Linked DNA regions of Saccharomyces cerevisiae S288C. Changing the gene in region 1 together with any one later gene gives a genetic interaction. Each region holds a gene or a part of one and is shown on either strand. Other genes may lie near its edges.

Evidence for each region.
Region 2: mutations in FDH1 (region 1) and FCY21 together harm fitness less than expected from each alone (positive genetic interaction), as found in Saccharomyces cerevisiae (one large-scale study listed by BioGRID).

Annotation. Positions count from the first base shown.
Region 1 is NC_001147.6:1,071,261-1,075,008, reverse strand, and holds FDH1 (formate dehydrogenase (NAD+)), read left to right. Parts: upstream 1-2,085; coding exon 2,086-3,216; downstream 3,217-3,748. Other genes in the region: YOR389W (uncharacterized protein), read right to left, coding at 1-796. UniProt on the Saccharomyces cerevisiae protein: Catalyzes the NAD(+)-dependent oxidation of formate to carbon dioxide. Formate oxidation is the final step in the methanol oxidation pathway in methylotrophic microorganisms.
Region 2 is NC_001137.3:272,848-276,934, forward strand, and holds FCY21 (purine-cytosine permease), read left to right. Parts: upstream 1-1,719; coding exon 1,720-3,306; downstream 3,307-4,087. Other genes in the region: PCL6 (Pcl6p), read left to right, coding at 1-1,039; FCY22 (purine-cytosine permease), read left to right, coding at 3,725-4,087. UniProt on the Saccharomyces cerevisiae protein: Probable purine-cytosine permease.

The DNA.
Region 1 (3,748 bases):
CCGAAAAATCACACAAAACGACCTCAAAGCCAACCTCTACCCTGATAATTCCGTCAAGCCCGAATGGCTTCCCCCATTTGCATATTCTAGCAGCGTAGAGTCGTTCGGCCATTCGTTCGTTTTCACCATCATCTGTAAGGTTCAATTTCTCTTTAATAACATTTGACAACATTAGCTGCGTGTCCATCTCTCCTGAGTCAGTTTTTGCAGCAGAAGCCCCATCAAGATAGAGAAATTTGTTGAGGTCCCGTGCTGCTCTATAGGTAAGCATTTTTTGTGAACCTCGATCTTTTTCGTCTGGTGGTGGTGGTGGTGGTGGCCCTTTTGGATGATCACCATGGGTGCCATTGCCGAACCTCCCATGCCTTCTTTCCAAAGATTTTCTCCCATAGGATGGTGACCTCAAGCCGAAAGAGTAGCTGAATTCGTGGTCCATAGCCAGCCATTCGAAGGTAGTTGGCACTTTTGATCCGGCATGGTACATTAAAGTTCCTTTGGGAATTACAGCGGGAAAATAAGATACTCCGACAGGATGTATATCCGATGGAGACTGTCTTAAAGCAGCTCGAATGGAATTAAAGATAGCCGTGCTGTTATCAAAATCAATGTCTCTGACAAACTCATGGTAATTATCCCATCGTATAGAAGGTGTGTCTGTGATTTTGGTTGCAGGTTGCTTGTGTGGTAGGGCAGTTGACACTATGCCATAAGATTCAGATAATTTCCAACAGAAACCAAGCAGCACAATGAGCAGTACGCCTACGGTGGCTGCGGTACCTTGACGGTGGAATCTCATTATTTATGTAAACAATTATAAATGGGCTCTTCGAGAACTGAGGCCATAGAATTTTTTTTTTTTATGAATTTTTTTTATCATCCTAATACTTTTTGTCTTTTAAGAGTGAAGAGCCGCAAGTTTCTTTTTTTTTTTATTTTGTTTTTAATTTTTTTCTTGGCATAGAATTTTTACACCCCGATCTTTTTTTTACATACGTAGTTCATTGCCGCTGATTACTGCATCGTCTCGCTTTGCCCGGAGAACGGTTGTTAACTTGTGTTTAATGTGGTGTAAAGACAATGTCAATGCAAGTGACATGAACACTGTAATACATCACATTGGTAAACAAAGCTTGAATCGTGAACCTTTCTCTAAAAATTTCGATAATATGCATAAAGGTTCTTGAAGCTCCCCTTGTTCAAGTGGTTTATTTTTCTATAGATATTTACACTCCGCAAGTGCAAAAAAAAAGCATTATCGCTAACGATCAAGAGGAACTGAGACCTTATTAGTTGTCTTTGTTGGCGTAACATAAATTTCTTAGGAAAAGAGAAAATTATCTCGAAGGCAAAAATAAACCAAGCCTCGAGTTTAATGGTTTTCTAAAAAACACTTTAAAAACAGATCGCCATAAAAGGAGAAGCTCCGTAGGAGACCGTTTTCGAAACCTATGTAGAAATAAAGGGAAAGCTCCAACGGTTTGGATAAATCTTTAGAAGCATAGAGTTTATACAACATTCAGTACGAAATGTACTCTCGAAACGTTCTCTTTTCACGGTGCTTAGTAGCAGAAAAAAGTGTCGGAAATTACCTATTTTGTCACCACTCGAGGATAGGCTTGAAAGAGAGTTTTAACCCCAACTTTTCTATTTTGCACTTGTTTGGCTATGGTTTAAAACATTCTGTTTGGACCAACAGCCCAAGCGGCTTATCCCTTTTCTTTTTTTCCCTTATAATCGGGAATTTCCTTACTAGGAAGGCACCGATACTAGAACTCCGAATGAAAAAGACATGCCAGTAATAAAACTATTTTGATGTTATGCGGAATATACTATTCTTGGATTATTCACTGTTAACTAAAAGTTGGAGAAATCACTCTGCACTGTCAATCATTGAAAAAAAGAACATATAAAAGGGCACAAAATTGAGTCTTTTTTAATGAGTTCTTGCTGAGGAAAGTTTAGTTAATATATCATTTACGTAAAATATGCATATTCTTGTATTGTGCTTTTTTTATTCATTTTAAGCAGGAACAATTTACAAGTATTGCAACGCTAATCAAATCAAAATAACAGCTGAAAATTAATATGTCGAAGGGAAAGGTTTTGCTGGTTCTTTACGAAGGTGGTAAGCATGCTGAAGAGCAGGAAAAGTTATTGGGGTGTATTGAAAATGAACTTGGTATCAGAAATTTCATTGAAGAACAGGGATACGAGTTGGTTACTACCATTGACAAGGACCCTGAGCCAACCTCAACGGTAGACAGGGAGTTGAAAGACGCTGAAATTGTCATTACTACGCCCTTTTTCCCCGCCTACATCTCGAGAAACAGGATTGCAGAAGCTCCTAACCTGAAGCTCTGTGTAACCGCTGGCGTCGGTTCAGACCATGTCGATTTAGAAGCTGCAAATGAACGGAAAATCACGGTCACCGAAGTTACTGGTTCTAACGTCGTTTCTGTCGCAGAGCACGTTATGGCCACAATTTTGGTTTTGATAAGAAACTATAATGGTGGTCATCAACAAGCAATTAATGGTGAGTGGGATATTGCCGGCGTGGCTAAAAATGAGTATGATCTGGAAGACAAAATAATTTCAACGGTAGGTGCCGGTAGAATTGGATATAGGGTTCTGGAAAGATTGGTCGCATTTAATCCGAAGAAGTTACTGTACTACGACTACCAGGAACTACCTGCGGAAGCAATCAATAGATTGAACGAGGCCAGCAAGCTTTTCAATGGCAGAGGTGATATTGTTCAGAGAGTAGAGAAATTGGAGGATATGGTTGCTCAGTCAGATGTTGTTACCATCAACTGTCCATTGCACAAGGACTCAAGGGGTTTATTCAATAAAAAGCTTATTTCCCACATGAAAGATGGTGCATACTTGGTGAATACCGCTAGAGGTGCTATTTGTGTCGCAGAAGATGTTGCCGAGGCAGTCAAGTCTGGTAAATTGGCTGGCTATGGTGGTGATGTCTGGGATAAGCAACCAGCACCAAAAGACCATCCCTGGAGGACTATGGACAATAAGGACCACGTGGGAAACGCAATGACTGTTCATATCAGTGGCACATCTCTGGATGCTCAAAAGAGGTACGCTCAGGGAGTAAAGAACATCCTAAATAGTTACTTTTCCAAAAAGTTTGATTACCGTCCACAGGATATTATTGTGCAGAATGGTTCTTATGCCACCAGAGCTTATGGACAGAAGAAATAAGAGTGATTATGAGTATTTGTGAGCAGAAGTTTTCCGGTCTCCTTTTGTTCTTGTTTTGGCGTATTCTCCACTATTCGTCCATAGCACATTTATACCTTAGCTAAATATTTTGTAAAGCAAAATTTTCGTTATCTCTTAAAAAATAGAAGAGCGGTTTATTAATATCAAATAATTGAAACTGCTGATATGGTAGCTATATACAAAATCTGCTGTCAAAATTTGGCAGTAAACGATCTTCACGGTAGCGGTTCAAATAAAGAGGAAAAGTCTTTCTCCCTTACTGTTTTTCTGGAATTTGGCTCGTCGTTAATAACAGAACTAAAGATACAGTAAAAGGAGAGATCGCAATCAACTTCATTAATTGTAACAGTAGCATAATCACAACTGATCATCTACACTATAAACAGTTTTTATTTCTAATTATGGGCGCCTGGCCGGCTCAAACATTGTGCTTTTAAGACTCCAAAAGTATCTGCTGCAGAAAAGAGCCATATAATGTTAAGTGTTCAGGGATAGGTTATCGCTTACTACT
Region 2 (4,087 bases), on another chromosome or scaffold:
AATTAGACCAGAATCATCTTTTAACTATGAGGATGCTTCTAACCAAGCTAGGGTCGAAATGAATAACAGGGTACATGGCTCAAATATGAACACAATTAACAAATATTATCCAGTACGATTCCCAAAGAATAACGAAAGGCAATTGAGCGACACAAATAATTTAAATGAGAAAGTGCAAGGCACACATACAGTTCAATCATCCACCCAGGAAGACAAAATACTCGACGGTGACACAAGCAACTCACAAGTAACCCCGTCTTTGAACATTGCAGAGTTTCCCACAGACAAGCTTCTTAAAATGCTGACAGCGTTACTAACTAAAATTATTAAGTCAAATGATAGGACGGCAGCGACAAATCCTAGTTTGACACAAGAGATTGAGAATGGTAGGTGTCTTGCTTTAAGTGACAATGAAAAGAAATACTTAAGCCCCGTTCTGGGGTTTAGAGGGAAGCACGTACCACAAATTGGTCTTGACCAATATTTCCAGAGGATCCAGAAATATTGCCCCACAACGAATGATGTATTTTTATCGCTCCTCGTGTACTTTGATAGAATATCCAAGAGATGCAATAGTGTCACTACGACCCCTAAAACTAATACTGCAAAACATGAATCTCCCTCAAATGAAAGCTCTCTAGATAAAGCTAACAGGGGCGCTGACAAAATGTCCGCATGTAACAGTAACGAAAATAATGAAAATGACGATTCAGATGATGAAAATACAGGAGTTCAAAGGGATTCAAGGGCTCATCCTCAAATGTTCGTAATGGATTCACATAATATTCACAGATTAATCATAGCAGGTATTACTGTCAGTACGAAGTTTCTGAGCGATTTCTTCTATAGCAATTCAAGATACTCAAGGGTAGGTGGGATATCTTTACAAGAACTCAACCATTTGGAACTGCAGTTTCTAGTTTTGTGTGATTTTGAACTTTTGATATCAGTCAATGAATTGCAGAGATACGCGGACTTACTATACAGGTTTTGGAACAACGCAAAAGCTCAATCGCAAGCACTAGTTACGGGCATGTAGAAATGCGTAATATGCAAGTAGATATATTTACATACACAGTTTCTCTCAAAGGTAGTAATTATCTTATGTGTTAACGTACGGTTGCTAAGAAATAAGCATGGTAACTTTCTTAGGTAATTCTTTGGTATTAAGATATATTCTGAATTACGGTTTGGACTACTTTATTGTTCAGAGATAAGAAACATGTTGAGCAGCACTTTATGGTGTTGCTATATTCCCGTTCAAATACAACAGCAACAAAAAATGCTTATCCCTCATCAAATTGAACAGAAAAAAAAAAACCATATTATTTTATTCAAGCTTATCGCATGATAGACTGTATATGGAGCAGTCAAAATTGACTGCTAACTGAGTTTTCATTTTGGAAATCTTATCATTTTGCGTTCACCGATTCTAACTTATTTTCATCACGAATACGAGAAGGGCAAAGGTGCCGGCGTCATTATGTGACGGAAAGAAAAATTCGATAAGGCCTTTTTTTTTTCACTCATCGTATTGCCAAGCAATTTTAGTCAGAAGTAACACGTATATATATAAGGGCGTAGACGTCCCTCTTAACAGATACTCTGTAGTCCGTGCTAACGTAAACACAGCATTAAAAGTGCTTGTTACTTCACTATTATTAGCATTGAGGCGCGTGTGCTCGGAAAACCTACCATATTATAAAAGGGCTAACAAATATGCCTCAAACGCACGAAATGTCCCTGAACGGCACTCAATACTTAAAATATGAACTTAAAGACCTTGAGTCTCGAGCTCACGATGCAAAGACTCCTTCAACAAATGAATTCTATGATGATGTAGAATCGCACGGAACAGAAGAATTAGTTGAAGCTAAACTGTCGTTTTTGAACAGAATTGCTGCTGGTTTAAGTGCCGAGACAAAGGGTATTGAACCGATTACAGAAGATGAAAAAACTGATGATTCTATACTGAACGCTGCATCTATGTGGTTTTCAGCAAATATGGTTCTGCCTGCTTATGCCATTGGCGCCCTAGGGCCTATGGTGTTTGATCTAAATTTCGGCCAAAGCGTTTTCGTTATTATTTTCTTTAACCTCTTAGGCTTGGTATCAGTTGCTTTCTTTTCTGTTTTCGGTGCAGAGCTGGGCCTAAGACAGATGATTTTGTCTAGATATTTAGTTGGCAATATCGCAGCCAGGATCTTCTCTTTCATCAATTTTATTGCCTGTATCGGTTGGGGTATCGTTAATACCGTAGCAAGCTCGCAAGTCCTGAATATGGTTAACCCCGGTCATCAATGTCCTCTCTGGGCTGGTTGTATAGTTATTATCGGTGCTACTGTAATTGTAACTTTTTTCGGCTATGGAGTCATTCATGCTTACGAGAAATGGGCGTGGGTACCAAATTTTGCCGTTTTTTTGGTAATAATTGCTCGTTTGGCAAGGTCTAAAAAATTTGTCCTTGGGGAGTGGACATCTGGTCCTACTACAGCAGGTAACGTGCTTTCATTTGGATCAACAGTTTATGGGTTTGCTGCAGGCTGGACAACATATGCGGCTGACTATACCGTTTATATGCCAAGGAAAACGAACAAGTATAAAATTTTTTTCTCGCTTGTAGTTGGGTTAGCAACACCATTATATTTTACTATGATACTTGGTGCAGCTGTAGCAATGGCAGCTATCGGCGATCCAGCCTGGAAGACGTATTATGACGAAAATTCCATAGGTGGTTTAACTTTTGCCGTTCTTGTCCCTAATTCTGTTCACGGATTCGGTCAGTTCTGTTGCGTGTTATTGTCTCTGTCCACTATCGCTAATAATGTTCCCAACATGTATACTATTGCTTTATCGGTGCAAGCCACGTGGGAACCTCTTGCGAAAGTCCCAAGAGTTATTTGGACTTTATTAGGCAATGCGGCCGCACTGGGTATTGCCATTCCTGCCTGCTACTATTTTTCTACCTTCATGAATTACTTCATGGATTCCATAGGTTATTATTTGGCTATTTATATTGCCATTGCATGTTCAGAGCATTTTATTTATAGGCGTTCCTTCAGTGCTTACAATGTTGATGATTGGGATAGTTGGGAACGTCTACCTATCGGCATTGCAGGTACTGCTGCCTTAATTGTTGGTGCCTTTGGCGTAGCGTTGGGTATGTGCCAAACTTATTGGGTTGGCGAGATCAGCCGTTTGATCGGAGACTACGGTGGTGATATTGGATTCGAGTTAGGACTAAGTTGGGCATTTATAGTTTACAACATTGCTAGACCCTTTGAGCTCAAGTACTTTGGTCGTTAACGAAAGTTCATTTAAATGTTTCGCTATTTTAGTCTTTGTAATGTAACATAAATGGCTCTAGTATGCAAATCATTAAAAAATAGCATGTATGTTAATTAAATTATCACGGCTCATTCATTTGAGTTGATAACGCAATTCTGATAAGCATATCACGTGACTGTGGTTCTAAGAGTTACTCCGATCGCCAGTAAATACTTTATGAGACGTTGCATTATTTCTGTTTAGTTGATAAATTTTGATTTCTAGTCTGTTGAAAGCCTAATGCATGCAGATGACATAAATGTAGTCTGTTTTTGCACTGGTGATTTGTAAACCAGACAAATATATAACATGATAACCAAATTGTTTGTTATAAGATACGCTTGTCAGATTGAAATGGAGGGTGTTTCAGAAGGTGACTAAAATATCGAAGAAAAGTATGCCAGAAAAGTTAGCCATGTCAATGGTCGATATAAAAGATGCGGGGAGTGAACTAAGGGACCTCGAATCTGGAGCTCTGGACACAAAATCTTCCGCCGCTGATGTATACTATGAGGGTGTAGAATTGCATAGAACCAACGAATTCATTGATAATAAGCCGTCCTTTTTCAATAGGATTGCAGCTGCTTTAAATGCTGAGACGAAAGGTATTGAACCAGTTACAGAAGATGAAAAAAATGATGACTCGATACTCAATGCCGCCACTATATGGTTTTCAGCTAATATGGTGATTGTAGCCTATTCCGTAGGTGCCTTGGGTCCTCTAGTATTTGGCCTAAATTTCGGCCAAAGTGTTTTAGTT